Regions from separate parts of the Mus musculus genome. Here all the other regions are reported to be linked to region 6. The links are microRNA targets in miRTarBase. Many come from high-throughput screens and were not tested one by one. Region 6 holds a microRNA gene; each other region holds the end of a gene's coding sequence. Distances are between the middles of the regions.

Region 1 (4,076 bases), not on the chromosome of region 6:
CATTTTACAACTTAGAGCCACGAGCAATTGATTTGGAATATCTAGAATGTAAAAAAAAAAAACAAAAAACTGGTGTTAGAATGTAGAGTAAACCTTTGTTAGAAAATCAATTATCATATTAAAAACAGCTTTGGTCCCTATGAATTATGAACTAAAGACACCACTTTGAAAGGCTAATCCAATCTGGCGTGTGGGAAACCCAGGTTTCCAGAGACCACAGTGGTGTGTCCCCCCCTACTGGCAAAGGGTATTCCTCAAAACTGAGGAGTGGGCTTCCCACGCCAGGACCATGGCCATGGGGCTGGGCGGTGTGCGTACAGCACAGGGGGGTTATTTTCAGTTTATTTCACAGTAGAAACCCAGCTCTCTGGTGTGACTAGTAGTAAGTCAGTGGGAAGAAGACCCAGACATTCAATTGCTTCTATAAAAACTATGTCATGAATTTGAAATGTTTCTGACTCAAAATTACTTTAGAAAAGAAAAATGGAGAGGAAGATCACTCATTTTGATGTTGCCTCACCCATAGAATGGACCTTGCAGGTGCTGGTGAGAGTAGATGTAAATGACTTGGCTCAAGTATCCCCAGAGCACAGGGTGGAGGTCAGTGACAGGGGAGGCTGTCCCTGGCCTTTGGGAGGAGAGGCCAGAGACACCCCTGCTGCTGCCTGCTGGTGAATTCTACCTGGGAACTGCAGTCCCCCACATAGCAGAAACCTTCCTCCATGGCCTCAGGGCCTGGGACATTGCTTTCCAAAGCAGATTTTCTAAAAGTCCCATCAGCATGGACATGCGGACACAGAAACAGCCAAAATTGGGGTAGTGGACAGATGAGGAGGAAGGGTGGGTGAGGCAGGACCAAGGCATGCATGGGGAAGGGACTGGACACTGACACACGAGGCAGGGGAGCAGCAAGCATTCTGGAAGAGTCCATGTGACCCAAGCTCATCATTGCAAGAACACTGGTAAATGAGATTGTGTGACACTGAGGGTCCCACCCCCATGCCCAAGATAGGGACCATAGCAAGTCCCCAGGCCAGCAGGATATTTGTAAGCAAATGGTTAGTTAGTAAACGGGCATAAAAGTAGAGGGGTTTGCCTGACGGTGGTGGTGCACGCCTTTAATCCCAGCACTTGGGAGGCAGAGGCAGGCGGATTTTTGAGTTTGAGGCTAGCTTGGTCTACAGAGTGAGTTCCAGGACAGCCGGGACTACACAGAGAAACCCTTTGTGTGTGTGTGGGGTGGGGGGATAAATAAATAAAAAAAAAGTAGAGGGGTTTGTGAAAGCTGATGACAACTTGCCAAATTGTAACAAAAAGTAGACCCCTAGAAACATTGTGGCCTCAGACAAAGAGAGGAGGAGCAACTCCCATGATCCAGAGGACCTGATTGCTCACAAAAAGGGTTCAGCCCTCTGCTTACCGGGCTCCACACAAGGCAAACCTGTGTCATCGATGGCTGGGGTCATGCTAGTGGCTTTGGGAGGGTCATAGAATGAGAACACTGAGAATCCTGACAGGATCATGGGTGCCTAATATGTACATATATAAATTAAAACTCTATTTATTGAACATATACAAATAAATAACTTATTTTGAAACAAATGCTCTCTCAACTAGCTTTCTGACCAAATCTAAGAACATTAATGGGAGCCCAGGATGTTGGAGCCCTGTGTTGGGAGCCTTACCTTCCCCGGGACCTACTTTATATGGCGCTGAGGAACTTACAGTTCCTCCACAGTTGAATGGATGACAAGGCTGGGTTTTTCAGCACAAATTAGGAACACCAGGAGCCTAGAACCTGCTGTGTCTTCATCAGGATAAACTCATCTGAGGCTTATTTGCTGGACATGATACTTCACTGTGTCCCTCTATGCTGGCCAGGGTTGGCTGTTAAACTGGACATTTTCTCCTTGTTTTGGTAACAATCAAAGCCTGGAACAGCTTTCCTGGCAAAGCAGGCTGCTATCAGAGTGGCCAAAAGCACTGCTCTGAGACCCAAAGCAGCAGAAGTCTACGGCACATTAACGTCTCTTCCCTTTCAGAGCATGGAATGGTCACAGCTCCCTGTGATGACCCAAGGGGCTCCATGAACAGGCTGGCGTGTGTGGAGGCTGCATCCCTCATCCTGGTCCTACACAGTTTCCTGGCAGAAACTAGCCCACACAGATGCTGGTATGAGGAATCCTAACTGCCCTTTGGAGGAAGGCACTAGAGCAAAGCACCATTAGACAGCTGGCAAGTGTCTTACACTGGGCTAGTCTGGGACAGACTTTCAGCTAAGCAGCTTCCATGTACACTGTGATGTCCCTATACCCTGGTGGCCACCTTGCTGCTCTTTGGTGACTCCAAGGTAGCTGCTTCAGGGCTCAAGCACAGAGCATCAATCATGGCCATGAAGGCTGCCCAGAGAAGACCCTAAAGGCACCACTACGGAGAGCCTGGGAGACTCCTTATGTGTGTGCTAAGGACATTCTGGGCTGTGATGGGAAGGCGTGCCCTTGGTACAGCATCACCAGGTTCTCACCCATGTATAACTGGTCCTGTACAAGTCTGCAGAGATGCCTAACTTCCAGGTCACTGCCTGCATCTACCCATGGTGGAAAGGTTTGGACTGTTACAGGGAAGTCCAAAACGCCAGTTTGACACTCAACCCCCTAGGGTAGAGGCTAGCCCCATGAGCTGTAGACAGCACATCCTAAGCAGCTGAACTGTCCTACCAAGTGCACAGGGGTGAGCGCAGGAGAGTGGGAGGGCCCGCACAATCCGAACCTCAGCATGGGAGTGCATCCATGATGCACAGCTTCAACTGTAACTGGAGGAAGGTGCTCTGGAAGGATCGTCTCTGTTCAAAGATGGCCCAGGTTAAACTATAGGTTCTAGACCCCACTCTGTTAAATCCACAGGCAGATGGTGGCCAATGTGCTTCCTGGGCTGAGGAGTTCCTGCCCGGCAACCCAGGAAGCTGGGGTCTCAGGCCAGGAGAAAGGGGCACATGCTACCCAACGACTGAAAGCTCTGTGCTGACTCTCAAAGTACATCATAAACTGGGAGGAAACAGGGTCTCTGAAAAGTCCCTAATGTCCAAGCATAGCACATGAAGAAAAAAAAAGAAAAAAAAAAAAAAAGGAGGAGGGGAGAGGCATTTTCTTTAAAAGCAAACATGAAAAAACACTGGTAAAAAGAATGACAACTTCTCTATCCTGGTGACAAAAGATTTTTGTCCAAAACCAAAACTGAATCTTCACAGCCCTATTTCTCATGGCTTCACCTCCATTGACAGGGGACAGGCGGGAGGGGGCGGGGTGTGCAGAGACACAGGAGCTCATGCTGCTGCAGAGTAGGACCCTCTGGCAAACAGGGTGAGGTACGCAGCTCTGACCGCACACGGGGAAGGCTCAGGCCACCCTGTCTCACAGGGGTGCACGGTCCATGGGCTGGAGCTGAGCTGAGATCCCCAGAACCGCCCCATCTGCTAGAGGGCACCTCAAAACAGCTTGTCAACCCCTTTCATTTCTGCTTCTTAACAAGTAAATTTGGACACCAAAGTTTTAAAGTAAACTTTCCTAAAGGGCACCGTCATACAGTAGAAAGCGTGCACGCAAGCCAGCCAAGGGTCAGCGTCAGACTCGTCCAAACTTCTGTGGTCATGTTCAGGCCACTCTGGGAGGCACACGTGTCACACGCGAGGCTGGTGGCAGTACACAGTCTCTGGGCGTGGCTGGGCTCCCTCTATGTCCCATTCTTCAGCTCCCACTCCTGGAGAAGAGAGATGTGTGAACGCAGACAGTTTGATCCTGGCTACCACGAGTTGCTATGGCCCATGAGCCTTTGAGAGCTACACAATGTCCGGGCTCAGCCACAGAGAACAGAATGTAGTAGCCAGCCAGAGAGAAACCCAATCCAAATACCCAACAGGAGTAAGTAGGTTAAGTGTGGCCCCTCCAGACATGGGACACTTAGCAGGCAGAACCGGGAAGGGAGAGCTGACTGCTGGGATATCATGTGAGTAAGGACTACATATCCTCTGAGTCTATTAACATGGAAGCCCGAGGCAGTCAAGTTCACAGAAACAAACA
Region 2 (4,076 bases), not on the chromosome of region 6:
GGAAGTAGGAAAAGGGTGATGAGACAAGAAGTATAGACACTGCTGTGCTATCTCCACTTGGATAATGTGCATTGACCTTAAACTGTGCTACTTCCCTAGGCCTGGATGCAGCATGCCTGAAATCTGGGATGTAGAGGATCCAGACAACGCTGGGAAAACTCCCCTGTGCAACATCTTGGTGAAGGATTCCAAGCCTCACTTTACCACAGTGTTCCAGAACAGTGTTTACAAAGTCCTAGAAGTTCTCAGACAGTGACTGCACGTGCATCTGCCAGAGACGCACCAGTAATGGCTTTACTGCTTTGCCACTAACTCAGAGCGCAAACCTTTAGAAAGTCTTTGAAAGTAACTGTTTCGAATGGCAAACATTTGATTTGGTCAGTTTGTCAGTCTGACTGTAAAATGGCTTACATCAGATCGATTAGTTACTGTTTCACTGCACCTGTTAAAATTTGCTATGCAAATGAGTATATGTGTGTACTTGGTTTAAATATTTGTGTTATGGTGAACAAAGCCATCTGTTTAGAAATACATCATGGGTCATGACAGATGATATGAAACTACAGTCACTTCTGGACTGATAGGGGCCTGTTAGCACCTTGCTTCCTATTTACCTCCTGATCTTATCTTTGAACACTGTCTCAGCTCTCAGTCCAGGCGTGGTTGGCCTGTGGGTCACCTGTTCACCTCGCTTCCGGGTGCTCCTTTTGTTGTTTGTTGCTCTCGTGAATCAAGTGTTTCCTGCCTGTTGTTACCCAGACTCCTGGGTATGGTGGCGAGGACCAGTTCCTTAAGTTTCCAGCTATGTGCTGTGTGTTTCTCCCCACGCAGGCTGGTTTCTTTTCCACATAAATACTGTCTTGTCTTTAGGTTGATTAGCAAGTGCTTATTCTTGGTTAAAAAATTAGTAATTGTGTATTTTTCTCATTTTTAGTATTAATCAAATATTATATTTTAATACCTTTAATTCATTTAAAAAATTTTATGATTAATTACGCTGTTAGGAAAAACTATTTTGGACAAACTCAAATATGATGCATCTATAGCTTGATATATATGTACATATGGAGAGAGGGGGGAGAGAGAGAGAGAGAGAGACATAGCTTGTGGTGGACTGTAGTCTTTGCTAATTTTACCTTCACTATTAGAATAAAATAAAACCTAAGTAACCTCTGTTAATGTAAATGAGATGAATAGAGTCTTTTATTTTGCTTTCAAAATTGCCTATCTTTAATAAGACAAAGCCTTAAGCCTTATAATTTTGCCTCAAAAAAAAAAAAATTCAGTGTGTAGAGTGAGTATGCTCTCAGTCTTTCCCATTTTTTTCTTGTTTTTTTTTTTTGAAAAATTCCTAAACTTGCTTTGAATTTCTTATACAAATTTTGTTTCTTGAAAGTTAATTTGTGTGAAATGAGATACTTCAAAACTATAATCTTCATTGTTGCAAGTAATGGTTTTGAGGTTTTAAATTCTAAGTAAACTGTGACCATGGCTGACTACCCATTTTTTATACAGTCTTCTCTTTATTAACCACAGGCAGATTAACCTCAGTGTGGATTGTCCTTGAGACCTGAACCCTCAGGGATGGCTTCCGGTGCCCACTCCAGTCCTGACAGCCACGGAAGGAAGAGCTGTTCTTTCTGCCTTCTTCCCAGAGCCGAAGGACAAGCTTGTCTGGGGGACATTGGTCACCTGCAAAGACAGCACTTGCAACTGAGGAGTGTGGCCTCAGTAAGGAGCCAGCCTCACCAGCCAGGGCCTCCCTCCCTGAAGCTGCCCGGGGACTGCCATTCCCACTGTTGCAGACTGTGGCCAGGCTTCCTCATCTGATGCTTAGTTTTAGTTCCCAAGCTTTTACGAACTCCGAAAATAGGGGAGCAACTGGAGGTCATGGTTTAGGGGTGTTTGAGTGATAGTGTGGCAATGCAGGGCAATGTAAAGAAAGGGGCAGGCATGGGAGTGAGGGACACATGCCCTGCCTGCTCCGCAGCTCTTCTGCAGCCCAATATGGCTGCTGTGTGGATACAGCAGTTAGGGTTTTTTTTTTTTATCACCCTTTAAAAGTTATTTTCTGTCCTTACCCTCTAACAATTCCCTTCATAATAAGTTCACATGTAATGATTGGAAATTCTGTACAGAGAAACAAAACATTAAAATACTGTTAGAGCCAGTTCACATGCTGGGAAACATTAAAAGTAGTCTAAATTAGGTTTTTTTGCAGAAACCTTTTGTAACAAACAGTATGTCGTAATGTAACTCCAGCAGCAAGCTTTGCTTGTATTTAGTCAAGTCAGCTTGGAAATGCGGCCTTGGGGCCCACTGCATTCTCAGTCCAGCACATCTAGTAGCAGTGTGGCGGAAACACTTTTATGGCAACATGGAGCAGTATTAGATTTTATGTAGCTGACAATGCAGTATTAAAGCTCAGTATTTTGCATATTTTTAGCATTTACAAATATTTTTGCTTTAGTGTGAGAAAAGGAAAGAAAGACAGAAGGCAGTTGAATAGTTATTATTGTGACATTAAACAAAAAATAAGCTGGGTAATATGTCCATTAAAAGCTAAACCTCTAAAATGCCTGTCAGAGTGTGTGCTGTTCTGGTAGGCCAGCAGCATGGATGAGAAGACAAAAGGATGTGTCTGAGCTAAAGCGATCCTGCACAGGAGTGTTGTATTTTTATGAATTTTATGCCCCTTGTTTACATGTACTATATATGTTAAATAAAAAAAAAAAACATGAAAAATGTGCCATGTGTTTTCTGCCTGCTACTGTTCTCTGCACCCATCTGTGGCTGCGCACATTCCCATCTGTAGTCAGACGGCCGTGAGCTGATCGACATCCTCTTGCAGTCTTCGCTAAAATGGGGAAAGGTAACAACCTGGGGCCCATTGTTGATGGTAGGGGCTCGAATCATCCAAAATGGTATGGTATTTATGGTCAAAGCCACACGTTCCTTTGTCCTTTTCATCAAGGGACATATGTATTGGTATAATTACAGAGTTGCTAACAGCTTTTCTCATACATTACACCAAAGACCATTTGTTGTAAAAGATTCCCCAAGTTATAGTACATTTATTTGTGCATTATTGCTTTTGCTGTTTAGGGAAGGCAGTTTAGCTGTGTTCACCCATATAGAAACTAACTTACTTTTTTCTTTTGTTTTGTTGTCATTGTTGTTAGATTTGTTTGTTCATTTGTTTGTTTTTCAACATGGTTTCTCTATGCATAGCTCTGGCACTAATCTGTAGACCAGTCTGGCCTGGAACTCAGCAGTTTGACTGCCTTAGTCTGATGGGATTAAAGCCATGTGTTACCACCGCCCATCGTAGAACTGACTTTCTGACAAAGCTGCACTTTGCTTCTGACATCTTTGGAGAATGGTGCTCTGATATGCTAATTCACAAGCTAGTGGCCATAAGAAGTACCCATAAAACCTGGAAATTTGCCAAGCTTCTCACTTGGCTGATCTAGATGGGGACCCCAAGATTTACATTTTTATTAGTGTAGTTATGTATGATGGGCTTCATTATGACATTTTCATACCTGAATATGTTTGGGTCAGTTTCACCCCTCCATTGCCTTCTCTTGTCCCCTCCCACTCTCACTGATCACCTTCCTATTCCCGAAGACCCCTCTTATTTTTTGTCTTATTTGTATCTGTGCCCGTGTGTGTGTGTGTGTGTGTGTCCCAGCAGATTTACTTAGGGTTGTTACAGGTTTGCATGTTGTTGCAGGTTACATGGGTGAGGGCTTGATTACAGAGTAGGGAGAGTTTATCAGCTGCTAAAGGCTGAAGAAAGTATCCCTCTGGCAGCCTATTAACTGCCTGTTGATCTTCAAGGATGGGTGGGGCCCTTCCCCTAGCAATTGCTAATTGCTTATAAGTAATAATCTGGGAGAGGTGTGTCCTGTGAGCCCTCGCACCCCACCCCATGACATACTGTTGGTGGGTCCAGTCATGTGTGAGTTTTATCAGTGATGACAACTGCCAAAAGTTGAAGATGGCAGCAACCTTGCTAGGTCCTGAAGATTGTGTTCCACATTGTACCAATCCTGTCTCTTACAGTCTTTGTA
Region 3 (4,076 bases), 14 Mb from region 6:
TGTCTGTGTAGCCCTGTACTCTAAGGGTCCAGGCATCCATGGAGAATCTTGGGATTCATCCCCACAGATGATGGGGCACTGAAAACTGCAGAATGGGGACCTGTACCCAATAGGTGAGGGGAAACTACTACATAGATAGCCTGGGCCACCGTGTAAGTCTCACTGCTGCAAAGTGTGTGTTGTGTTAGGCTAGGATGTGGGTCCCATTCCCAGCATCAAAACTAAGAAAGGGTGGCCAGGAAGCGGGGCCTTAGTTTCTTCAAGTGTGGCACTCATGTGCCCTCTGCCCTGCAGAGTACAGTGGCCGCCCGCAGCCCTACCCCTTTGAGCGCATGGTCTTCGGGGCCTGTGCTGGCCTTATCGGGCAATCGGCCTCCTACCCTCTGGACGTGGTGCGGCGGCGCATGCAGACAGCAGGTGTCACGGGCCACCAGCACGGCTCCATCCTGAGCACACTACGCTCCATTGTACGTGAGGAGGGCGCGGTGCGGGGCCTCTACAAGGGCCTGAGCATGAACTGGCTGAAGGGCCCAATTGCCGTGGGGATCAGCTTCACCACTTTCGACCTCATGCAGATCCTGCTGCGCCGGCTGCAGAGCTAGGCTAACACAACAGTGGATGGTGAGCTGTTCGAGCAGGGGCATGCAGCTGTGTGCTCGCAGCCCTGTGGTACCTTGAGGGTGGGCAGGAGGACGGGACCTGACTTGGGGCTGTAGGGCCCATAGCGAAGTGCTGGTCCTCAGGGTGTGACATTGTGATGATGGATCTTGGCTGTCCCCTCCCTTCAGTTCCTTGCTATTGGCTGGTGAGTCTCCTGAGGTGTTACCCAAAGGCCCCTAATGGGTCAATTGCACTTCCTGGCCCTGTGTCCTCTGACCTGCTGCTGATCTAGTGCCCATTGGCACCCGGGGCTCAGAGCCCATCCCTTCTTGCTATGACCGTGCCTGGCCTGCAGATGTGATAGCAATTCCTTTTAAGCCACACACTGGAGGGTCACAGTTTGCTCAGTGGTGGCTATACCTGTGTTCCTCAATCCTCCACCATGCCTGCCTATCCTCTCCCAGGTGACAAATGGCTGCTCTTGCCCACATAGCTTTCTCCCCAGAGCACTGTGCCCATCCTATTTCCGAGGGCTGCACCTGACCATTGCCAACTACCTGGCTTGTACCTTTCCAGGAGGCCCTATGGCCACCAGACAGGGGTGTCAAGTTCAGACCCCACTGGAAATGCCCATGTGGGTATCACTGATCTGGGGTGTCTTCCAAAGTACACCAATCAGGCCGAATGCAGGCCCAAAGCTTCTTATATGCACAGCATCCATGGAGGTAGGGCTCAAGCTCTTGAAACTGCCTTCTGTGGCTGTCATCTAGCCAGGCCACATGAAGCCCAAAGATGGGTGGGTGGCTTTTCCTGTGTGAATGAGTACAGATGTATCCATGACCTGGGGAGCAGGGAAAGGCTGGGGTATCCAGGGACCACCAGCCAGCTGACACAAGGAGAACCCCCCCACACACTGGGTTCCCTAGGTGTCACAGGAAACTCTTGCCTTTCCTGGTGTCTGGGGTTCTTGATTTAGGGTCTTTGAGACAGTCCTAGCCAGAAGCCCTGGCTGTCCTGCTTCTGAGTGTTATCTGGGCTAGCCTTCAACTTAGAGCAGCCCTCCTGCCTTTACTCTCTTTTCTTTTCTTTTTTTTTCTTTCTCTCCCTTCCTTCCTCTCTCTCTCTCTCTCTCTCTCTCTCTCTCTCTCTCTCTCTCTCTCTCTCTCTCTCTCTCTCTCTGTCTCTCTCTCTCTCTCTGTCTCTGTCTCTCTCTCTGTCTCTGTCTCTCTCTCTCTGTCTCTCTCTCTCTCTCTCATTTTATTTTCCCGAGACAGGGTTTCTGTATAGCCCTGGCTGTCCTGGAACTCACTCTGTAGACCAGGCTGGCCTCAAACTCAGAAATCTACCTGCCTCTGCCTCCCAAGTGCTGGGATTAAAGGCGTGCGCCACCACTGCCCCACCTACCTTTAGTTTCTAGTTTTCAACTTATCCTGCCCCAGGTCTGCACATAAAACCCCTACCCTTCCTATGCAATGTGGCTCTGGCTCAGAGGTGATCTGGGTGTTGATTCCCACAGCTGGATGGCAGCCATCTCACATGCAGGACCTGAGCAGGGTGGCTCGAGCCCTGGGCATTTGCAATTCTTGCTGCAGTCTTTGTTCATTCTATATTTCTTACCTTGTGCCTGTGACGCTTGGCCATCTCTCAGCCTCCGCGGATAGTGATGGGCCATCCCCACCATGTCCCCAGACACCCCCCCCCCCCGGCAGCCTCTGGTGGCTGAGAGGGACTGTCCTCTCGTGAGTGTACTGCCACTCCCTTCCCCACCTGGGATGGAGAGTCTAGGCATCCCTTACCAGGAGGCCGGAGGTGACTGAGGCTCCTGGGTCACCTCAGCAGGTTGCACCATGTAGATGGTTGGCTTGAGCCCTGCATCAGGCAACCAGCAGGGCAGGAGAAGTGAGGGTGTCCTGGGTCCCTGATCTTCTTGCTTCCCCATATCCCCCCAGTAGCTCTGTGGCTGCCCTCCCCCATGGTCACTGTCCAGTAGCTCTGTGGCTGCCCTCCTCCGTGGTCACTGTCCAGTCTGGAGTTCTATTTTGATGCCATAAAGACACTTTGTTTATATATAATGTTTATATATTTTGAAGATTTGTGCCAACAGAGTATATTTAATAAAATTTTAAATATCTCCTGCTTCTTACTTCTTCAACTCTGGCTCCACCTCCCACTCTATGAACGGGGTCAAGCTACTTAGCACTTTTGTTTTTAATTTTTCTAGATAAGGTTTCTCGGTGTAGCCCTGGCTGTCCTGGAACTTGCTCTGTAGACCAGGCTAGCCTCTCTGCTCTGCCTCCCGGGTGCTGGGGTTAGAGGTGTACAGCACCACTGCATGGCCACTATTTGCTACTTTAAAAAGGCATTTTGTGTATGGGTGCTTTGCATAACTGTGCAGGCCTAGTGCCGGAGGAGGCCAGCAGATCCTTAGTCTAGACTTACAGATGATCACATGGGGTGCTCGCACAACTGGATCATCAGCAGGAGCAGCCGGTGCTCTTCACTCTGAGCCATCTCTCCAGCCCCCCCCCCCATCCTTGTGAAAGAGAGCTGAGGATTGCAGGTGTGTTGTCCAAGTGCTCTGTGCAACTTTCTGTTCATAGATGTAAATGTGACACAGGCTACTGGGGATGAAATTGATGGCCAAAGATGGAACATTAGACTGGGGCAGTAGAGTCCCAGCCTAGAATCCCCCAGTGAGGGGCTGGGGGCGTGGCTCAAGGGTGGAGCACTTACTATACAAAAGACCCTGGGGTTTTTTTGCCAGTACAAAAAAGATAAGGATCCAGGAATACAGTAACCATGTAGCTAAATCTGCCAACAACATGGCTCGGATTTATTTAATATCTGAGAAATATAATCCATGCTGGCTTCTAGTTCTTGCATAGCACTGGCTGGCCCAACTACCTCTGGAGTCATCAGCTATACTCCATCATGCTCAGCAAATGGGCATCGGCCAGAAGCCTAAGGACCTTGCTCTGAAACACAGCTCAGGCCCAGTCAGCCCTGAGCCATGTAGCTGAAGGAGGTGGGGCCCTGTACGTCGTGTGCCCCTACACTCTGAAATCCACAGCAGAGCATGGGCATCCCTGATTCCCATGAGACTTCCACAAGGTCCTGCAGCCCTTGTCAGGGTCAGTTTGGGAGGCAGGGACTCCAGATAGCCCTTCAAGGACATCCTGTTGATTCATAACACACACGTCAGCCATATTTGCTGCAGTCATGAAGACCTGAGTTCAAGTCCCCAGAGCCCACATAAAGTGGGACAGCAGCACTAGTCTATAATCCTAGCACTCCTACAAGCAAGGTGGGAAGCAGAAACCAGAGACTCCCTGGAGCCTGTTGGACAGCTGACCTGAGGGACTCAGGTAAACAAGAGACCCTGTCTCATAGTAGAAGGCTAGGATCTACATGCTAAGTTGTCCTCTGATCCCTGCTCTCACACATGGACCTATTGTATCATACACAGCACCTGTGTT
Region 4 (4,076 bases), not on the chromosome of region 6:
TTTCATTTCCCATCTTACAAAGCAGAATTCACAACCTGGCAGCCACTGGGCAAAATTAGATCTATCTACATGTTCTATTGGTCCTGGGTTCATTTAAGTAGTTTCCAAAGCTTAATTGCTAATATTTAGCTTTTGTTGTTGTTTGTTGTTGTTGTTGCATGTGGTTTTGGTGTTGCACTCGTGCACACCCACGTACACACACACACACACACACCCCGGTATCTGTGAGCATCACAGCCAGCATGAGGAAGCCAAAGAAGACAACTTTGGGACAGGGTTGCTTCACGCCTTCCACTGTGGGTACGTTGTCTGGGTTTGTTTCAGAAATGCTTGTACTTTCTGAGCTGTCTTGCCAGCGCTAGGCATTGACAGCTTCAAAATGAGACATCCTCAGCTTTTCTTGAAAACCAAGAAGCCCAGGAAACACTGCTGAAGGCTGGACAAGGGTGCCTTGGTTTGCCCCAGTCGGTGCCACGCCCTGATGTCTCTCTTCAAGGTGCTATGTTACTGTTTTCCTTATGCCGGGGTATACAGGTGCCCCAGAAAACACAAACTTTGCCAATTACCAGCAGCCATGCCCAGTGATGGAAGATTTTTAAAAAGACTAGAAATCTCCACGTTGGCATTGCCTACCTTTCCCCAGTACCAGCGGAGTGTTCTCTTGTGTCGGGGTAGCTAGGGACTTCCTATTTCCCTTTCTGTCTGGAGTGAGGGTGTGTCATTTTGGCTCCAGGAATAACACAGCTTCCCTCTTCCTCTGAAAAGCTCCTGCAACCCCACACTTTTGGGGGAACAGCTTCCTATTTAGTTACTTATATAAAGTCAGAGGACCTACCACTAAAGGTTGTCAAGAAAATTAGCAACATGAGCCACAATGGCTGGGTAGGTCTGCGCTTCAAGGGCAGGTGAGCTACATTTCTGACTCACCTCTGGGCCAGATGCATGAGAAGCACCTGTAGGGCACGCATAAACACAGGTCAACAACTTTCTTTCTTGGTTTCCTGGTACCCTAGCCCCCCTCACACCCGTCTCACCTTTGCCCCCCTCCCCCGCAAAGGACCTGGTCTATTTCCCCACAAACCATTCACTCTCAGCCCCAACCCCATCTCCCGTTAGCATCAAAAAGCTTGTGCCTTGTCAGAACTGGCACCTTGCCTTAATCTGCAAGGCCATTCTCATTCCTGGCTCAACGATGAGGTGTATGGGAAAGAGGCTGGCTAATACTATGGCTCCGCCCACTATCTGCTCCTTCAGGGCTAAGAAACCATCACCTGGCACGTTAGAATCTGGCTCTCTCTTCTGATCAAAAACACTTGTATGTCAAAATAAAGTCACCCAATGGCTAAACACAAACAAAACTTCACCTGACTCTGACTTTTTGGACTAGCAAGCTAGATGGCTCACAGGGCTGCCCTCCAGTTTCCTCATCTGAGTTCATGCATCGAGCCTGGGCCTGGGATCCAGTGAAGCTAAGCCCTCCTCCACCCAGGGCCCCATGCTGCTCCTGGGCACTCTCAGGGACCCCACACTCCACATGCAAAGCTCAGTATCTATCCGAAATGTGGTTTCTAATGGCTCTTTGGGGGGGGGGATAAAATATTTCTTGGCCTCAATTTAAAAAGAGAAAAACATTCTCTGATGATGTTCCCAGGGAACGGTCATACATTAGCAATTTAGGCCCACCAATCTCCCTCACAGAATGAATGCCAAGACTGAGCACGGCCAGGAGAGCCTCATGGAGGTGGGAGCTCTGTCTGCTCAGTCTGGATTCCACAGTGATAATATGGCGTGAACTCCTCTGCAGAGATGCCTGGTTTTACTGCGAGACCAGCTCACAGCTTGCCCAGAGCAGCTGCTCTGTTCTCTGCTAGAGAACATGTGGAGCACGCTCTCCTGAGAAGCTGCCAGCTGCCTGTGCAGAGCAGGGAGAAGGGTGTTTCCATCCAAAATGCACACAAACCGCTTCTTCTCAGCAGGAACTAAGGGCTCCCTTCCCCCACCCCCCACCCCACTGCAAAGGTGCCTAGAAGGGAAATCCCCGGCTCATCTCACCTCCACACCTGACCTTGGGATCTTTCTCAGCAACCCCCTTAATGCTGGTCCAATCTGGTGGAGTAGTAAGAAAAATCAATGGTTCGTAACAGAATGCTGAGAAGATAGGCTGCCAAAATCCAACAGCACCCATGCTAACAGTGGAGAAGGATGCTCAAACCAAGTGAGCCAGAGCAAGGGATAAAGGTTTCTAAGGGGGAGACAGACTCATCGTTATATACATCTAATTAAGGTACAGGATAGGAAGAGATGGTTTACCTTTGGAAACAGAATTTCTGTACAAGATTCATTCATAAAAATAGAACATTTACTTTTGTAACAATCCCCTCCTTTCTGCCTTCTGAAAAGGAGGTTTGTCACTTGTCAAAACCAGCAGATTAACTGGCCACCGTCTCCCGTACACTGACGAGTATTAGTGGATTCTGACCTCTAAAATTCAAGACACGGCACCAGCCAAAATACAAACCACGATTCTAATAATGTTGCTGCCCAGCTGAGTAATGGATAGCAGTCCTCCACGTCCAGCCGTCACCACCCGAGCTACAGAGCAGTAAATGTAGCCCAGGGAGAAACTAAACAGATGGCTAAGGCTCCCATGAGATGGCTACCTCGATGCAGGGAAAACGCCCAGGTCCTGACAACGTCTGCACATTAATCAGCCAGTTTCACGTAGGACAAACAAGATGGTCCAGCCCCACAGGATTCTGTCCTGGTTGGTCATGTTTCCCAGTAAGAGAGAGAGAGCTGTTTTACAAAACGTGACTGGATGAATGTTCAATCATTGTCTGGACCTTGGACTCAAGGTTTACTTAACACTCAGGACAGTGTAAGTTCCACATCAAAATGGACAGAAACATGACCTGCAGCGCAGCCTGGGTCCCAGCAGTACTTGACATGGGTAAGTAAGCTGTAAGGATGCCGAGAGGGCTTTTCCACAAAGCATTTTGAGTTTAAGTAGCCAGAGTTCAAGTGAAGCCAGAGCAGGCTGTGTGGGAGCTTTCCTATTTCTCGTTACCTGTTTCCACTCTACCCCTCTCAGAGCAGGCTCAGATCCAAGGATCAGTCTGAGATGGACAGCTGCAGTCAGATCTAATGGACATGCCTTTCAGGGTTCCATATGCTTTTGGGAAACTGGAGACTTTGCTAAGTATCCCTTAGAAGGCTGGAGCAGAACAGATCGAGTGCTAGCCAGAATTTCATTCCAGATATCCCCGTGTGCGCCTTCAGCTCCAAGTAGGCTGCACAACCACAGAGGTGAACTGGGGAGCCAGAGAGATCAGCAGCTAAAGTGGCGATGCTTAGACTCTTCCGAGTCCTTACAAAGGAGCAAGCGCTTGCAGTTCGTCAGTGTGGCTGTGGCAACCATGTTCTCTGGACACCCCAGAGGCAAGGAGCTTGGAAGGGAGGGTAGGGGGGTCCTCCTCACCTAAGGAGAGAAGAAAGGACAGAGCCACAATCAGTACACTTTACTGACCCAGACCCCCAGTGCCACCACATGGCTGGGATTCGCTCTTGTGTGTTGCACAAATGAGGCAGGCATCGGAACCAGCTCAGAGTAATACTCTCAACCTCTTACCAGAGGAAGAGAGATCCCTCCGTTAGAGCCAAAGTTTTACATGTGTGACTCCAAGAACTTATAGGTGTGGTGGATTCCTGAGGCTCTCTGGGGAAGAGCCCTCCTTCCCGGAGCACTGTGTGAAGCTAGCACTGAGAAGAATACAGTGTTCATGAACATACGGTTTAATAGACATCTGGGCTTCAAAGGCGGTGGAAAGATAAAAGGCAGCAAACACTTCAGCTCCCAGAAGGGCACAATCCCACAGACCCTTATCCAACACATGCATTTAGTATTCCAATCTTTTCAGAGTTAGGAGACTGCCAACCCTACTGACAACTGGAGCTTAACCCTCGAGACCCCATGGTGGGAGGGGCTCTACTCCCAAAAGGTATCCTTCTATCTGCATGTGCCTGCACGTGCCACACCCAGCCCCTATTCCCATGTGTGTACACACACAGAAAATAAA
Region 5 (4,076 bases), not on the chromosome of region 6:
TTTTTTTCTTCCTGAACCAGGGCCTGTTACTTGGGCTGCCTTCCAACTCCTGGGCTCAAACAATTGCCCTGCTTAATCACATTCAAAGAGCTGGAACTAGCATGCCCAGCTTCTTTTAGACTATTTCCTCATCAGTAAAATGAAATACTAGGAAAAAAAAAAACAAACTTTATTTTGAGATTTTAGTGTGACATGTTCTTAAGCACTTGATACTTGGTAATTCCCAGTAAACAGTGGGCACAGGTAATAAGTGTTCACAACTTCCAAGTTCATGTTTGTCTTGTTCCCCACCATAGCCTACAGGGATAGCAGTGGAGTTAACAGTTTCAACCATGGCACACTTTCACGGCTGTCCTAAATTAGTATGTGTCCTTGTGCAAAGTCATTGAAAGAATAGAGATGTCAGTTATTTGCTTCTTAAGCCTCGAAACAAGAAAGGCACATTTGGTGTGTGTCAGGGTACATGTGTGTACACAGGTGCATATGGGTGTGTGAAAAGCCACGAAATGGCAAGGTCTCCCTCAATTACACTCCACCTTATTCTCTGAACTAGTCTTTCAATGAACTCAGCAATTCAGCTCCCGGGATCTTTGTGTCTCTGTCCCCCAGTGCTGAGGTAACATACGGTGTGATGTGACTCCATTTTGTATGGTGTAGGCCCCCTAATTCAAGTTCACATGCTTATTTGGTAAGCATTCTCACAACTGAAGTATCTCTCTACTTCTCAATGCTAATTTCTTTAAACTCCAGAACACTTCTAAAGTTTTTTTTTTTCTTTCCCCTATGTATGTGTATATTATGTGTTGTGACCCACCTGACATGGATGCTGGGAACTAAGGTCCTCTGAAAGCAACAATCTATCAGCACTGTTTGTAGTCAACGGAGCTCATCATGATATGGCTGTTGTACCTATGGATTCATAGCACCAGGCCTGCCTGCAGGAAACTGGACTTAACATCATGGACGGGAGATGATAGTGGGGTAACCCTAAGGTACTACCCTCCTTGAAGACCTACAGGTAGGTAACAGATGCTGGGAAGAGGAAGGTATATTCTTTAGTGGTATAGCCATTAGTTAGCCTTGATCAAATAAACAACCCTAATTAGATGCAGTGGGACACACACACCACACAGACACAAACATGAGGAAACTTGTTGGAAAGAAGTGTTTGCTAGGAAAAGATGAGGATAATGGAGGGCGTATGACCAAAGTAATTTATACATAATACATATAAAAATGATACTTATTTTTTAATAGAACAACTTATTTTTATAAAAATGTTAAAACTTACATTTGGATAAGCACTTTTTAAACTTACAAGACTGTAGGACATGCAGTGCTAGAAAACAATCTTGGTCTGTGGCCACCAAAGGTCACAAGGCTCTGTGGTCAATGAGCCTCCAAGTGAATGTGAGTCAGGACAGGCACTCATTCAGGAATTCTGGGAACTGTTAGCTCCCGAGCCTGGATCAAAGGGCCCATTCACTTGCATTCTACCCAGTCACATTCTTGGTCTCATGTCACAGCCTCAGCCATAGAGGCACTGTGGGGTTTGCCAATCTATAGAGGCATATGCCCTGACATAATGCCATGTCCTTAATACCAAAAAGGAGCTCTTAGGCATGGATTCTCTGAGACTTCCTGATGCTCCTCCCATACAACAGTACCCCCTCCTCCTCCTGGAAATCCCTCCAGGGGATTTCTGGTGCTACCCAACTAGTCTCTAGCACAGTGTGCTTGTTTCAGGCTCCTAAACCAGAAAAGCACACCAACAAACCAAATTTTGCACTAGTTCCTAGGCCAAGTCACACAGGGGTACAGACTAGCATGACATCAATGATCTTAAATGTGCGCCTAACAATGTGTAATGGAGCCAAGTGACTGGTGCTGTAGAGGCCTCGGCTGAGAAAGGAAAAGGTGGAGGGGCTGGGAGTTAGAATACTGCTTCTGGACTGGGAACTCTGAAGCTTTCAGCACATGCAGTCCTCCAAAAAGAAACCAGCTTTGTTTACAGCTTATCAACACACTCTCCACTCTCCCCTCCCTCTGAATACACACAGCAACACCACCCATGCCTCCACAAGACCACAACTCCAAAAATAATAACCCACATCAGGACAGCAGTTAGTGACCAAGAGCGAGGCACATGTTTTGGATTTACTCTTCATCTCTGAGCCATGGGATGGAGGGCATGTGACTTGCCCTAAGTACCTCGAACAAGAATAATCACACAAGGACTCCACAGGTGCTACACAAGTGCTTCAACAGGAAGCAGTGTCAAGCTTGCCGGTCCATGCCTTTAATTCCAGCACTTGGGAGGCAGAAGCAGGCTGACCTCAATGTGTTCAAAACCAGCCTAACCTATATAGCAAGTTCCAGTGGAGCTATAACAAAACCAAAGAAAAACAAAAATACCAAATACAACACAGTAGTAGTAAACTAGATACAAGGCCCTTAGGTCAGTATGTGGATTTGGCATAATTAACCACACACATAGTAATGAACGGCCTTTGCCCACCCTAGAGCAAACCACTAAAACTGCTATGCCTATCAAGTGATGGGCGATTTGAGGTATGGAAAAAGCTACTGATCCTTGTTCTATGGCTACTGCATGGTGGAGGGTCCTGAAGCTTTACAAATATAAAACGTACAAATATAGAACGTGCGTATCTCTATAAAGCCATGCTGCGGCAAACACATGGAGACCAGAAGACAGCCATAGGTGTTCACCCTTGCCTTCCAGGTCTTTCTCATTCACTGGCCTGCTAGGATGACTCTGCCTGTCTTGTCTCCTAGTGCACAGGGTAGCAGTGGCTTGTTCTAGTGGCTCTTACATCAGTTCTTGCACCGTAAGCACTGTACTCACCAAGGCATCTCCCCAGCCACGATGCTTTAGAAGTACTTGAAAGGCACGATGGCAGCAAAAACATATTATAAGCATCAAGACTGCAGAGACCCCAAAGCTCAGCGATCCATTTGTTTCCCTATTAATTGACTTGGAATTTCACCCTTGTCCTTAGGAGAGTTGTTGTGCACTAGCTATCCCTGCATAGGTAAGAATGGCAGAGCTTTCTAAGCCAGTCTGTGGATGGCAGGGACAAACTGCTTCCATGAAGGTCCAAGAAGTGTTCGGTTTTTAATTAAAAACAAAAAAAAAACCCACCAAAAACAACAACAACAACAAAAAACCAAAACACAGTATCTCACACAGCCCAGTCTGGCCTCAAGCTATACAGCCGAGGTGAACATTGAACATTTAATTCTTCTGCCCACACATCCCAAGTCCCAGGATCACAGGCATGCATGTACTATGCCTGGCTTCAAGAAACCAAAGCATGATACAAAATGATGAATGGCATTAACCATATTCTATTAACTAAGCATCACTCGATAGTGTGAAACTGTCCTGTGGGACAACCCTGGGTATTCAACTTCTAATGGACTTCCTTGAAGGACCTCCAATCCAGAATTGAAACAAGATATTCATTCCGTAGACTGGCTTTGAGGGAAACAAATGCCCAGGCTGTGCCTGAGGCCCCAGGGACACTCCTGGAATTGGTGGTGCAAAGAGGTACAATGGCAAGGTTTCAATTGCAGTATCTCTTGCTACTTCTTCCTGCCGCCTCTCTCCTTGAGGGCCAAGTGGATGACAGCACCACTGGCCATGTTGTAGTAAGCCAGGGAGTTGGAATCCTTGATGAAGATGCCCTGGAAGACAGACAAATGTCTTAATGGACACCACCTGTCTTTGACCACATGCAGCCTCACACAACTGAGCTTACTGCTATTCTAGACTTCACTACTATGGAAGCTTAAGGGAAGGTCAGCGAAGTATGGAACTTTGGCTTCTTCTAGAACATCTCTTTTTCCTTCCTTCTTTCTAACAGATGCAAAGTAAGGAACTTTGTCAACATTTGGTTTAGTTTTCAACTTCCCAAACATTAGCCATGACCAAACTAAAAGGCACAGCTGACTTCTCAGGTCAAAAGACCTTTAGTGATTATCTTTTTCAACACCCTATTTCACACAGGAAGAGAGGAAGCCCCAGAAAACCTGAATACCCCTTTGCACCTCCA
Region 6 (4,000 bases):
GGCTACGCTGGGTACCCCTCACCAGCTCGGAACTCTGGAGCCTCACACCCACTCATGCTTCTGCCTCCCCAGTGCCGGGGTCACACAAGCACGTGCCACCCAACCAGGGTTTGGTACCATATTTATAGCTTCCTGTGAGCCTATAAGTCTTTCAAATAAAACTGAAAAAGGAAAAGCCCACAACACAGATCCTCAGGGACCTTAGCCACCTGGGTGCAACAGTAACCGAGGTGAGAGGCGTCTAGTCCAGGCACAAACAACGTGCACCTTCTCAGCAGACCTGCTCGCTGCACCAGAGGACCCACAGGGTTGAGAAATCAGAAGGTTTGCAGCAGTGGTTTATTAAATAGACTAAACTAGTGAAGACCAGCAGCCAGGGTGTGCTGCCATGTGGAGGGTGCAGTGTTCTGACCTGATCCATGGTCCTGACTGATAATGGGCCCAACTTGGGCTGACTTCAGCTCTGCCACTGTGATTGTAGGAGCTCCCATCTCTCATTTCCTATCAAGCCACCACCAGTTCTGACTAAGGGCATTTCTGCAACTGTCCTCAGAGCTTCACATAGCAGCTGAGGTACAGAGTGGCTGAGCAACACCTAAGGCAACACCACAGATGAGACCAGGCCCTAGGTCATATGAGCACTATCACTGAGCTATGCCTTGGGCCAAACTTCTGCTCTCTGAGTACTGCCAGGTTTTTTTCTCGAGTGTTCCCCCCACCCTCACCTCTGAATAAGGCGAACACTTACTGTGGCTGGTGAGGCACGGGTGGTGTGGGAGTAAGACTGGCTGGCATTGCCTAGCATGTAGCCGCCTTGGATCACGTAGGTGCCTGCTCCGCTGCCGCTGCTGCCGCCACTGCCACCACCACTGCTGCCGCCTCCCCCATTGCCCCCTGCACCCACACTGCTGTTGCTGGCCCCAGCCTCGCTGCTGGATGAGCTGGCGACAATTGGGCTGCCGGACACATACATGGGCACTGAGCCGCTGCTGGCCACCGTCTGGGAAGTAGCCGGCGTGCTGACCTGGGCAGCCGTGCCCGAAGCCTCATAGTAGCTGGTGCCTGCCGTCTGCGTGTAGATAGGCGTCTCCGGGTACTGGTAGGTGCTAGAGCGGCTGCCAAGAAGCAGACAGGAAGCAATGGTCACCACCTTGTACAAGGAGGCAGGGGTTCCAGGAGAGGACCAGAGAAGCCACAGAAACACCAGTGTGGCACCTTCACATATAAGGGACTGGGGACAGCCTGAGCACTGGATGGGCAACCACTTTCTTGTTTTCTAAAACATGTCTTTATATTAACTTATTACTTGGAGAGGGGCACATGTGTTCCGTGGCATACACACAAAGGTCAGAGACAACTTGTGGGAGGCGGGGCTCTCCTTCCACTGTGGGTCCTGGAGACTGAACTCAGACTGTAAAGCCCGGCAGCAAGCACTGCTGAGCCATTGAACCAGCCCTCGCTGGGCACTGAGCCACAGCACTCCAGCACAGGAATCACTCTCCTCACTGGTACTGAGCCACAGCACTCACTGGTACTGAACCACTGCACTCCAGCACAGGAATCAATTTCCTTACTGCAGAAGAGGAGAAAACAAGACAGGGTCCAGAATGCAGAACGTACTTCCTCGGCAACAACGACAAACAGTTCTCAGTCCAGGGAAGGGAGATACAGGAGGGAAGGCAAAGTACAAAGGACTGCAGGGTAGGCAGAGGGGCCGCCTTGGCTACCTCTTCCTGGCAGGGAGCTGCCCCTCCAACTCAGAATATGTCCTGAGTGCCGCATAGGGTAATAAGCCGCAGATCTAAGAGGGGCAACTGTAGCAAGCAAGCCACCCTAACATTTGGGCCCATCTCTGCAGGCTGCAGACTAGAGGGGGTGAGGCAGGAAGAGGAGACGCAACATGATTGCCTTGAGTCCTCCACTGGGTACCGATGGACAGCCAGAAACGAGAGGTTGGGATGAGGAAAAGACCACCCTGTGTGTAGGCAGAAGGCTCTCTGTGGGGAGGGGACAGGCAGGGCCACCTCTCACTTTTGCTCTTTGAGCCCTCCCAATGTGACAGTGATTAAAGCAGGAAAACTTGAGCCTTGCAGGTGGCTCAGTGGGTGGGGATGTTTGCCATCAAGACCGAAGACCTGGGGTTGATCCCCAAAGCCACACAGCAAACAGACTCCAGTGTTAGCATTGGCACTACGCTCAATACATGGTGCATACAACCCCCCCCCATCATCCCATGCACACACTCGAACACATGTGTATACACACACACACACACACACACACACACACACACACACACACACACACACACACACACACACACGAGGGCCAGCAAGGTGGCTCTGGGGTCAGAGACTCACCACATGAACCTCTTACCTAGTACTTGAGTTCTGACCTCAGGTCATGACCTTGCTTCTCAGGTCTGATAAGCAAGAAGCAAGCCATTTACTGATTTATCTCCCTAACCCCCAAGAAAAATTGTAAGACAGAATATGCAAGCCCGAGGAACTGGATTTGCCCCTGCAACCTGTGTAAAGGAGAGAGAAAACGGACTCCTCTAGGTTGTTCTCTGATCTCCACCTGCACCACAGCACATGCACTCTCCCCACACATAAGTCAATATAACAAAAGACAATCCTCCTGCCTCTGCCTCCCCAGTGCTGCTCAAACAGGACAGTTCTATGCTCAGAGCACTTCTGAGTAGAAGCAGAGAAACGGGACACACTAATTACTCTGTGGGACACTGAGGGTCAGATTGAGAACCTGTGGTTCCAGCACGAGAGAGGAAGTGTCAGGCAAATCTCTGAGTTCAAGGCTACCCTGGTCTACAGATCAAGTTCCAGGGCAGTGAGGGCTATACAGAGAGACATTGTCTCAAAAAAAGTTTATGTTGTAAAAATGTATGTATAAATACATATATGTATGCTTTTTCTTTCCCCTTTTCCTGCCTAAAATCCAGATCCATCTAACTGCACAGCTCCTAATTTGTGGAGGTGCCTTCCCAATGGGCCAGTGTCTCTTCTGCTACCAGCTGCCTATATTCCTGGCACCCCACAGGTGTGGGGCTATCACCTGAGCCTTGGGGGCCAGCTGGGAGTTAGAATTGTGGCCCTAACCACATCTGAGCCCTCCTTCCACCCTCTGCCCACTTACATGGCGCTGGCTGTGTAGCTGGCATCGCCACCTTCCACGTACTGCACCTGGCTGGAATACACGTGTGGGACAGGCACCTGAGGGAGTTGCTGTACCTGAAGCAGGAGGAAAAGCAGGGTCATGGGTCAGGGCTGACCACCACCCACGGGTTCACTGATGCCCACATACATCCCCATCTAGAAGGTTGCACATCATGGTTTTCTGAACAACATGGGCCAGAGGTGGGAGGCTTAGGTAGGAGGCTTAGGTGGGGCCAGGTCTCAGTTGTGGCTGGAAAACAGGAGGTGCTGGGATTCTCTGCTTTGGCAAAGAGGTTTCTAAGGCTTATGAGCAAAGGAGGGGATACCAGACAGAATTCTGCAATGGGCTTGAGAGGTGGGTTTGCAATCTAAAAACCGGGCCTGGGGGTTTTCTGGAAACCAAAAAGGTTTCCCAAGCAGATTAGGGGTGGAGCCTGAAGAGGGATCAGTTGATAGAACAACTAGAAACAACTGACAACACCTTAGGGGCAGGTACTGGATAGCCTACCTCCACCCCCAACCCTGGTTTGCAGGAGCCGTGTCTGGGACCCAGTCCCTGAGGCAGAACAAGAATGACTGGCAGCACTTTGGGGGACAGGGTAAAGACATCTCACCCCACCCGCCTTGGGTTGCAGGGGCGAAGCCTGGGAGCCTGGACTTGAAGGCGAGGCAAAGCGGCTTGCTGGGCTGAATGCCCTTCCCCTGCCCGCCCTCCGCCCCCTGCCGTGCCTCCGCTGTCCGCCGCCACCTACTTTGAGGGCGGTGCCGAACACTAGCACCTGGGGCATTCTGTGGATCCTGACCCTCAGGTCGGGGCTGGCTCGGGC
Region 7 (4,076 bases), not on the chromosome of region 6:
CCTCGGGCTATGCTCCAGCCGGCTCGCTGGCCTCCTTGCCTAGAGGCTCGGGAGTGGGCCCCGGCGGCGTGATCCGCGTCCCCGCGCACCGCCCGCTGCCCGTGCCGCCACCCTCGGGTGCGGCCCCCGCCGTGCCCGGACCCTCTGGTTTGGGTGGCGCCGGGGGCCTAGCGGGACTCACCTTCCCCTGGATGGACAGCGGCCGCCGCTTTGCAAAGGACAGGCTCACGGGTGAGATTGCCCTACCCCTCGGTGTCCTTCCCCCGCGACCCCATTTCTTTGCTTCTCCATTTTCTGCTCCAACCCCATTGCCCGGTTATCTCTCCCCTCTGTTCATCCGCGTGGACCCTCCCCGACCCCACAGTTCTCGGTCCCACAGCAGAGAGGCAGTAAGGAGAGAGCTGCTGTCGTCGGGTGCATGCACCCCTGCCTCTGCAGTCCCACCGTGCCTACGGCGAGGAGGGGCAGGGTGAAGTTTGGGAGGACCCCGATTCTTCCTAAGCCCTTTCTTGATGAGGCTTCTGTGGTTGGGGGAGGAACCCCGATAAGGACTAGGGACTCTCTTCTCAGTCTCACCTCGGACTACCCCCAAACATTGCCCTGCTCTTCCGTCCCGTAGCTGCGCTCTCGCCCTTCTCTGGGACACGTCGCATAGGCCATCCCTACCAAAACCGGACCCCCCCGAAGCGCAAGAAGCCGCGCACCTCCTTTTCCCGCTCGCAGGTGCTGGAGCTGGAGCGCCGCTTCTTGCGCCAGAAGTACCTGGCCTCCGCAGAGAGGGCGGCGCTGGCCAAGGCCCTGCGCATGACGGACGCGCAGGTCAAGACCTGGTTCCAGAACCGACGCACCAAGTGGCGGTGAGGCGCGGGGCGCGGGCGGGCCGAGTGGCGGGGTAGGACCGGGACGCCCGCTGACCCCGGCTCTCCGCTCGCCCAGGCGCCAGACCGCGGAGGAGCGCGAGGCCGAGCGGCACCGCGCTGGTCGCCTGCTGCTGCACCTGCAGCAAGACGCGCTGCCCCGGCCGCTGCGGCCACCGCTGCCACCGGACCCGCTTTGCCTGCACAACTCGTCGCTCTTCGCGCTGCAGAATCTGCAGCCCTGGGCGGAAGACAACAAGGTGGCTTCGGTGTCCGGGCTCGCCTCGGTGGTGTGACCGACACCTGCCCGACGAGCGCCAACGTGGCCGGGTGCCGTACCGCCAGCGAAGAGTGAGGAGCAGAAGGCCCGCGGCCCGCGGCCGTCCTCTGAGGCTCTTTGGTCATCAGTGGCCCCTGGCCCACACTCTGACTCCGCCCTTCAAGGTTTTGTTTTGTTTTGTTTAAAAAAAAAAACCCCGCTGAGATGTGGGTTGCAAGAGCAACCTGCAGGATTGTGGATGAAGCAGGGACCCTGCAAGGCTGCGACTTTGCCCTGAGTGGGCTCAGAGCTCAGGTCCTGCTGGGAAGGGACCACAGAGCTGGTGTAAAGGCAGATATCAAAGGACAGCGGGGGAGGGGTAATGGAAGAGGCGCTGGCAGTAGAGAATGTGGCCTACTGTGACAGGGACCTCGTCCCTCATCTGTAAAACAATAACTAAGGATTCCTTCTAGCCTCAGTCTCCAGTTGTCTCCTGCCCAATCTGCGGACTCTCCATCTTGAGTTTTAACGCACTTATGCTATAGGTAAGATAGATTCTTATATACCCAGAAGATACACTCTAGAAAGAGAACCTGACTCCCGTGCCATGCAGGGTCAGAGAGCCAAGATGGGGAGCCGGTGGAGAATTCATGGGCCCAGTGTTAGAGTGAGCAAGAGACATGCTTTGGGACTAGCAAACCTAAGAAGAACCAAAGATGACCTTAAGACTGGAGATGTGTAGGCCAGGAAGGGGAAACTGGGGGCAAGATTAACAGTAGGCAAAACTAATGTTAGATTTAGAGAGAGAGAAAAAAATGCTAATGCCTGCCTTTGGGGGAATCTCCATGACATCACAGGGGGTGGAGACAGATGAAATTTTGGGTCTAAGATCTCCTGGTAAAGGCGGGAAGGCACAGGGAACTCTGGGGAGTTACATGGATTGAGCCTTTCTTTCCACAGTATTCTACAAACACATTTATGATGTGCAGGATGGTGGTGGATTCAGAAATTCGAGTAGACTAAGGGCAGAAGGGAAAGAGTTAGGGAGAAGTGAAGGATGGCGGCTTTAAGTTGGAATGTTCTTAGGAGATGGCACTTGCAGTAATCCTGACAATCTGAGTTTGAGCCCTAGGGGCAAGTTTGTGGAAGAAAACTGATTTCTACAAACTATCCTCTGACCACTGCACATGTGTTGTGGGTGTACACACACACACACAAACTATAATGAAAAATTAGAGAGACTGCAGACTGTAGGTGAGTCAGAGGGCGCAGGCTTTTGGTTAAGTGGAGGATGGTTACAAAGCTCTCTGGCTTAACAGGGAGATTTCGCCTCACTCCACTGTCCCCCTCTTGTTCCTGGCAGAGGCTAGAACACTGTGACGGGACACAGACCTGTGGTAGCCAGGTCACGGATGCTCTGTGCTAGGGACAGATATAGCAGCACAGAGGCTTGGGCGGAGGCAGGCAGGAGGCTGCACCTGCAGAAGTCGGCCTTTCCTTTTGTGTCACCTCTGACTCATGGATGTTGTATATGGCACTACAGAACTAAAAATCAAACTTGGCATCATAGAAAAATCATTTTTTAAAAAAAAGATTTATTTAGATGGGCATGGTGGCACATGCCTTTAATCCCAGCACTTGGGAGGCAGAGGCAGGTGAATTTCTGAGTTCGAGGCTAACCTGGTCTACAGAGTGAGTTCCAGGACAGCCAGGGCTACACAGAGAAACCCTGTCTCGTAAAACCAAAAAAAAAAAAAAAAAAAAAAAAGATTTATTTATTTAATGTATATGAGCACACTGTAGCTGACACACCAGAAGAGGGTACTGGATCCAATTACAGATGGTCATGAGCCACCATGTGGTTGCTGGGAATTGAACTCATGACCTCTGGAAGAGCAGTCAGTGAGTGCTCTTAACCCCTGAGCCATCTCTCCACCCCCCACCAAAGTCTTTTATAGTCTCACCAAGGAGACAAGGTTGTGTGAGGCGCCGCATGGGTGGGGTGAGTGGCATCTGCTCCCATGTCCATGGACAGAGAAGAAAAGTATGCTTGTTCTGAACTGTGGCGCTCTCTTCCCCCACTCCTAACAGTTCTTGGCTCTTGGGTTCCAGGAGTATATCTGACCCTACACTTTGGGTCTCTAAGTCTGACTGCCTTGGCGCTCTCTGATGAGGTTTGGCTCCATTCCTTAGGCAGTTAGCTCACTGCAGAACACAGCCATCTCCATACTCCTGGGGAGAGGAAGTTTCAGTCGCTGCTGCTGGTGGCTCTGCTGTTCCTTCTCTCAGCTGGTTCAAGAGGTCTCTGCTCTCACTGGGGGGCAAGTTACTCAGGAAGTATGGAGGGGCGAGCTCCACCAGCCTGACAGAGAAAGTCAGGATGGGATCATCTGTGCCTTCCCCTGCCCCTCACTCCCCGCCCTGCTTCCACCAACCCTCTTCCTACATCTCACTCCCCAGTTTGGTTCCTGGCCCTGGGAGAAGAAGGGCCCTGTATGAGTGAGGGAAACTCACATCTCAGGCTGGATCTCAGAGACAATGCAAAGGCAGTTGTCTTTCGAGATGGAGAAGCTGTGGTACAGCACCCACGTGGGTGGCTGGGCTGGAGTCCTGCGGTTTCGGTAGCTGCAGTATGGAGACAGCTGGGCTACGTGTTTATGGGTGAGAAGCAGATAATTTCCTGTCCCATCTGTGTCTCGGGCCACCTCATTGAAACACAAAAACATGGGTGGAATAAGTAAAATAAGCAATGGAGCACAGAAAATAAAGAAGGCCAAGGTTGGGCGTGGCAGGAATCCCAGCATCTGGGAGCCAGAGGAGCAGAAGTTAGAGGCCAGCCTGAGGTATTTAGAGAGTCTGAAGCCAGCTTGGACAACATGAGACCTTGTCTCATTGTTTGCTGCCTTTAAAAAGAAAGAAGGAAAGAGAAGGGGCTGCGAAAGGAGTAAGAGTATTGTAAA

Evidence for each region. The annotated mature microRNA mmu-miR-709 reads GGAGGCAGAGGCAGGAGGA and lies in region 6 at 2,636-2,654, opposite strand. An mRNA with a match to its seed (bases 2 to 7 or 8) in the 3' UTR can be bound and repressed. Matches are read on the target gene's strand: a 7mer-m8 pairs with bases 2 to 8, a 7mer-A1 pairs with bases 2 to 7 and ends in A, and an 8mer does both.
Region 1: the mRNA of Afap1 is a reported target of mmu-miR-709. Seed matches in the 3' UTR shown: 7mer-m8 at 1,142-1,148, 7mer-m8 at 1,136-1,142, 7mer-m8 at 895-901 and 8mer at 846-853.
Region 2: miRTarBase lists Dpy19l1 as a target of mmu-miR-709. The part of its 3' UTR that is shown has no 7-base or 8-base seed match.
Region 3: the mRNA of Slc25a42 is a reported target of mmu-miR-709. Seed matches in the 3' UTR shown: 7mer-m8 at 1,947-1,953 and 7mer-m8 at 1,953-1,959.
Region 4: miRTarBase lists Il17rd as a target of mmu-miR-709. The part of its 3' UTR that is shown has no 7-base or 8-base seed match.
Region 5: the mRNA of Sf3a1 is a reported target of mmu-miR-709. Seed matches in the 3' UTR shown: 7mer-m8 at 2,317-2,323.
Region 7: the mRNA of Dqx1 is a reported target of mmu-miR-709. Seed matches in the 3' UTR shown: 7mer-m8 at 2,765-2,771 and 7mer-m8 at 2,759-2,765.

The regions. Positions count from the first base shown.
Region 1 is chr5:35,999,379-36,003,454 of GRCm38, reverse strand. It overlaps Afap1 (actin filament associated protein 1), which reads right to left. Exons shown (of 17, transcript NM_027373.2): 17 at 1-3,756. The coding sequence ends at 3,730. Among named protein-coding and RNA genes, the nearest start is that of Gm52811, 84 kb to the left of the region's middle.
Region 2 is chr9:24,410,447-24,414,522 of GRCm38, reverse strand. Dpy19l1 (dpy-19-like 1 (C. elegans)) reads left to right here. Exons shown (of 23, transcript NM_001359948.1): 22 at 100-285; 23 at 1,537-2,745. The coding sequence ends at 256. Among named protein-coding and RNA genes, the nearest start is that of Dpy19l1, 91 kb to the left of the region's middle.
Region 3 is chr8:70,182,995-70,187,070 of GRCm38, reverse strand. Slc25a42 (solute carrier family 25, member 42) reads left to right here. Exons shown (of 8, transcript NM_001007570.2): 8 at 295-2,731. The coding sequence ends at 602. Tmem161a (transmembrane protein 161A) reads right to left here. Exons shown (of 12, transcript NM_145597.4): 12 at 3,390-4,076. Among named protein-coding and RNA genes, the nearest start is that of Tmem161a, 13 kb to the right of the region's middle.
Region 4 is chr14:27,100,679-27,104,754 of GRCm38, reverse strand. Il17rd (interleukin 17 receptor D) reads right to left here. Exons shown (of 13, transcript NM_134437.3): 13 at 1-3,478. The coding sequence ends at 3,369. Among named protein-coding and RNA genes, the nearest start is that of Il17rd, 64 kb to the right of the region's middle.
Region 5 is chr11:4,179,666-4,183,741 of GRCm38, reverse strand. Sf3a1 (splicing factor 3a, subunit 1) reads right to left here. Exons shown (of 16, transcript NM_026175.5): 16 at 1,201-3,708. The coding sequence ends at 3,607. Among named protein-coding and RNA genes, the nearest start is that of Tbc1d10a, 5.1 kb to the left of the region's middle.
Region 6 is chr8:84,084,821-84,088,820 of GRCm38, reverse strand. It overlaps Mir709 (microRNA 709), which reads right to left and starts at 2,722; the gene lies at 2,635-2,722. Rfx1 (regulatory factor X, 1 (influences HLA class II expression)) reads right to left here. Exons shown (of 21, transcript NM_009055.4): 8 at 3,154-3,248; 9 at 749-1,115.
Region 7 is chr6:83,065,835-83,069,910 of GRCm38, reverse strand. It overlaps Dqx1 (DEAQ RNA-dependent ATPase), which reads right to left. Exons shown (of 12, transcript NM_033606.3): 11 at 3,631-3,821; 12 at 2,692-3,478. The coding sequence ends at 3,319. Tlx2 (T cell leukemia, homeobox 2) reads left to right here. Exons shown (of 3, transcript NM_009392.2): 1 at 1-231; 2 at 620-857; 3 at 937-1,586. The coding sequence ends at 1,153. Among named protein-coding and RNA genes, the nearest start is that of Tlx2, 2.4 kb to the left of the region's middle.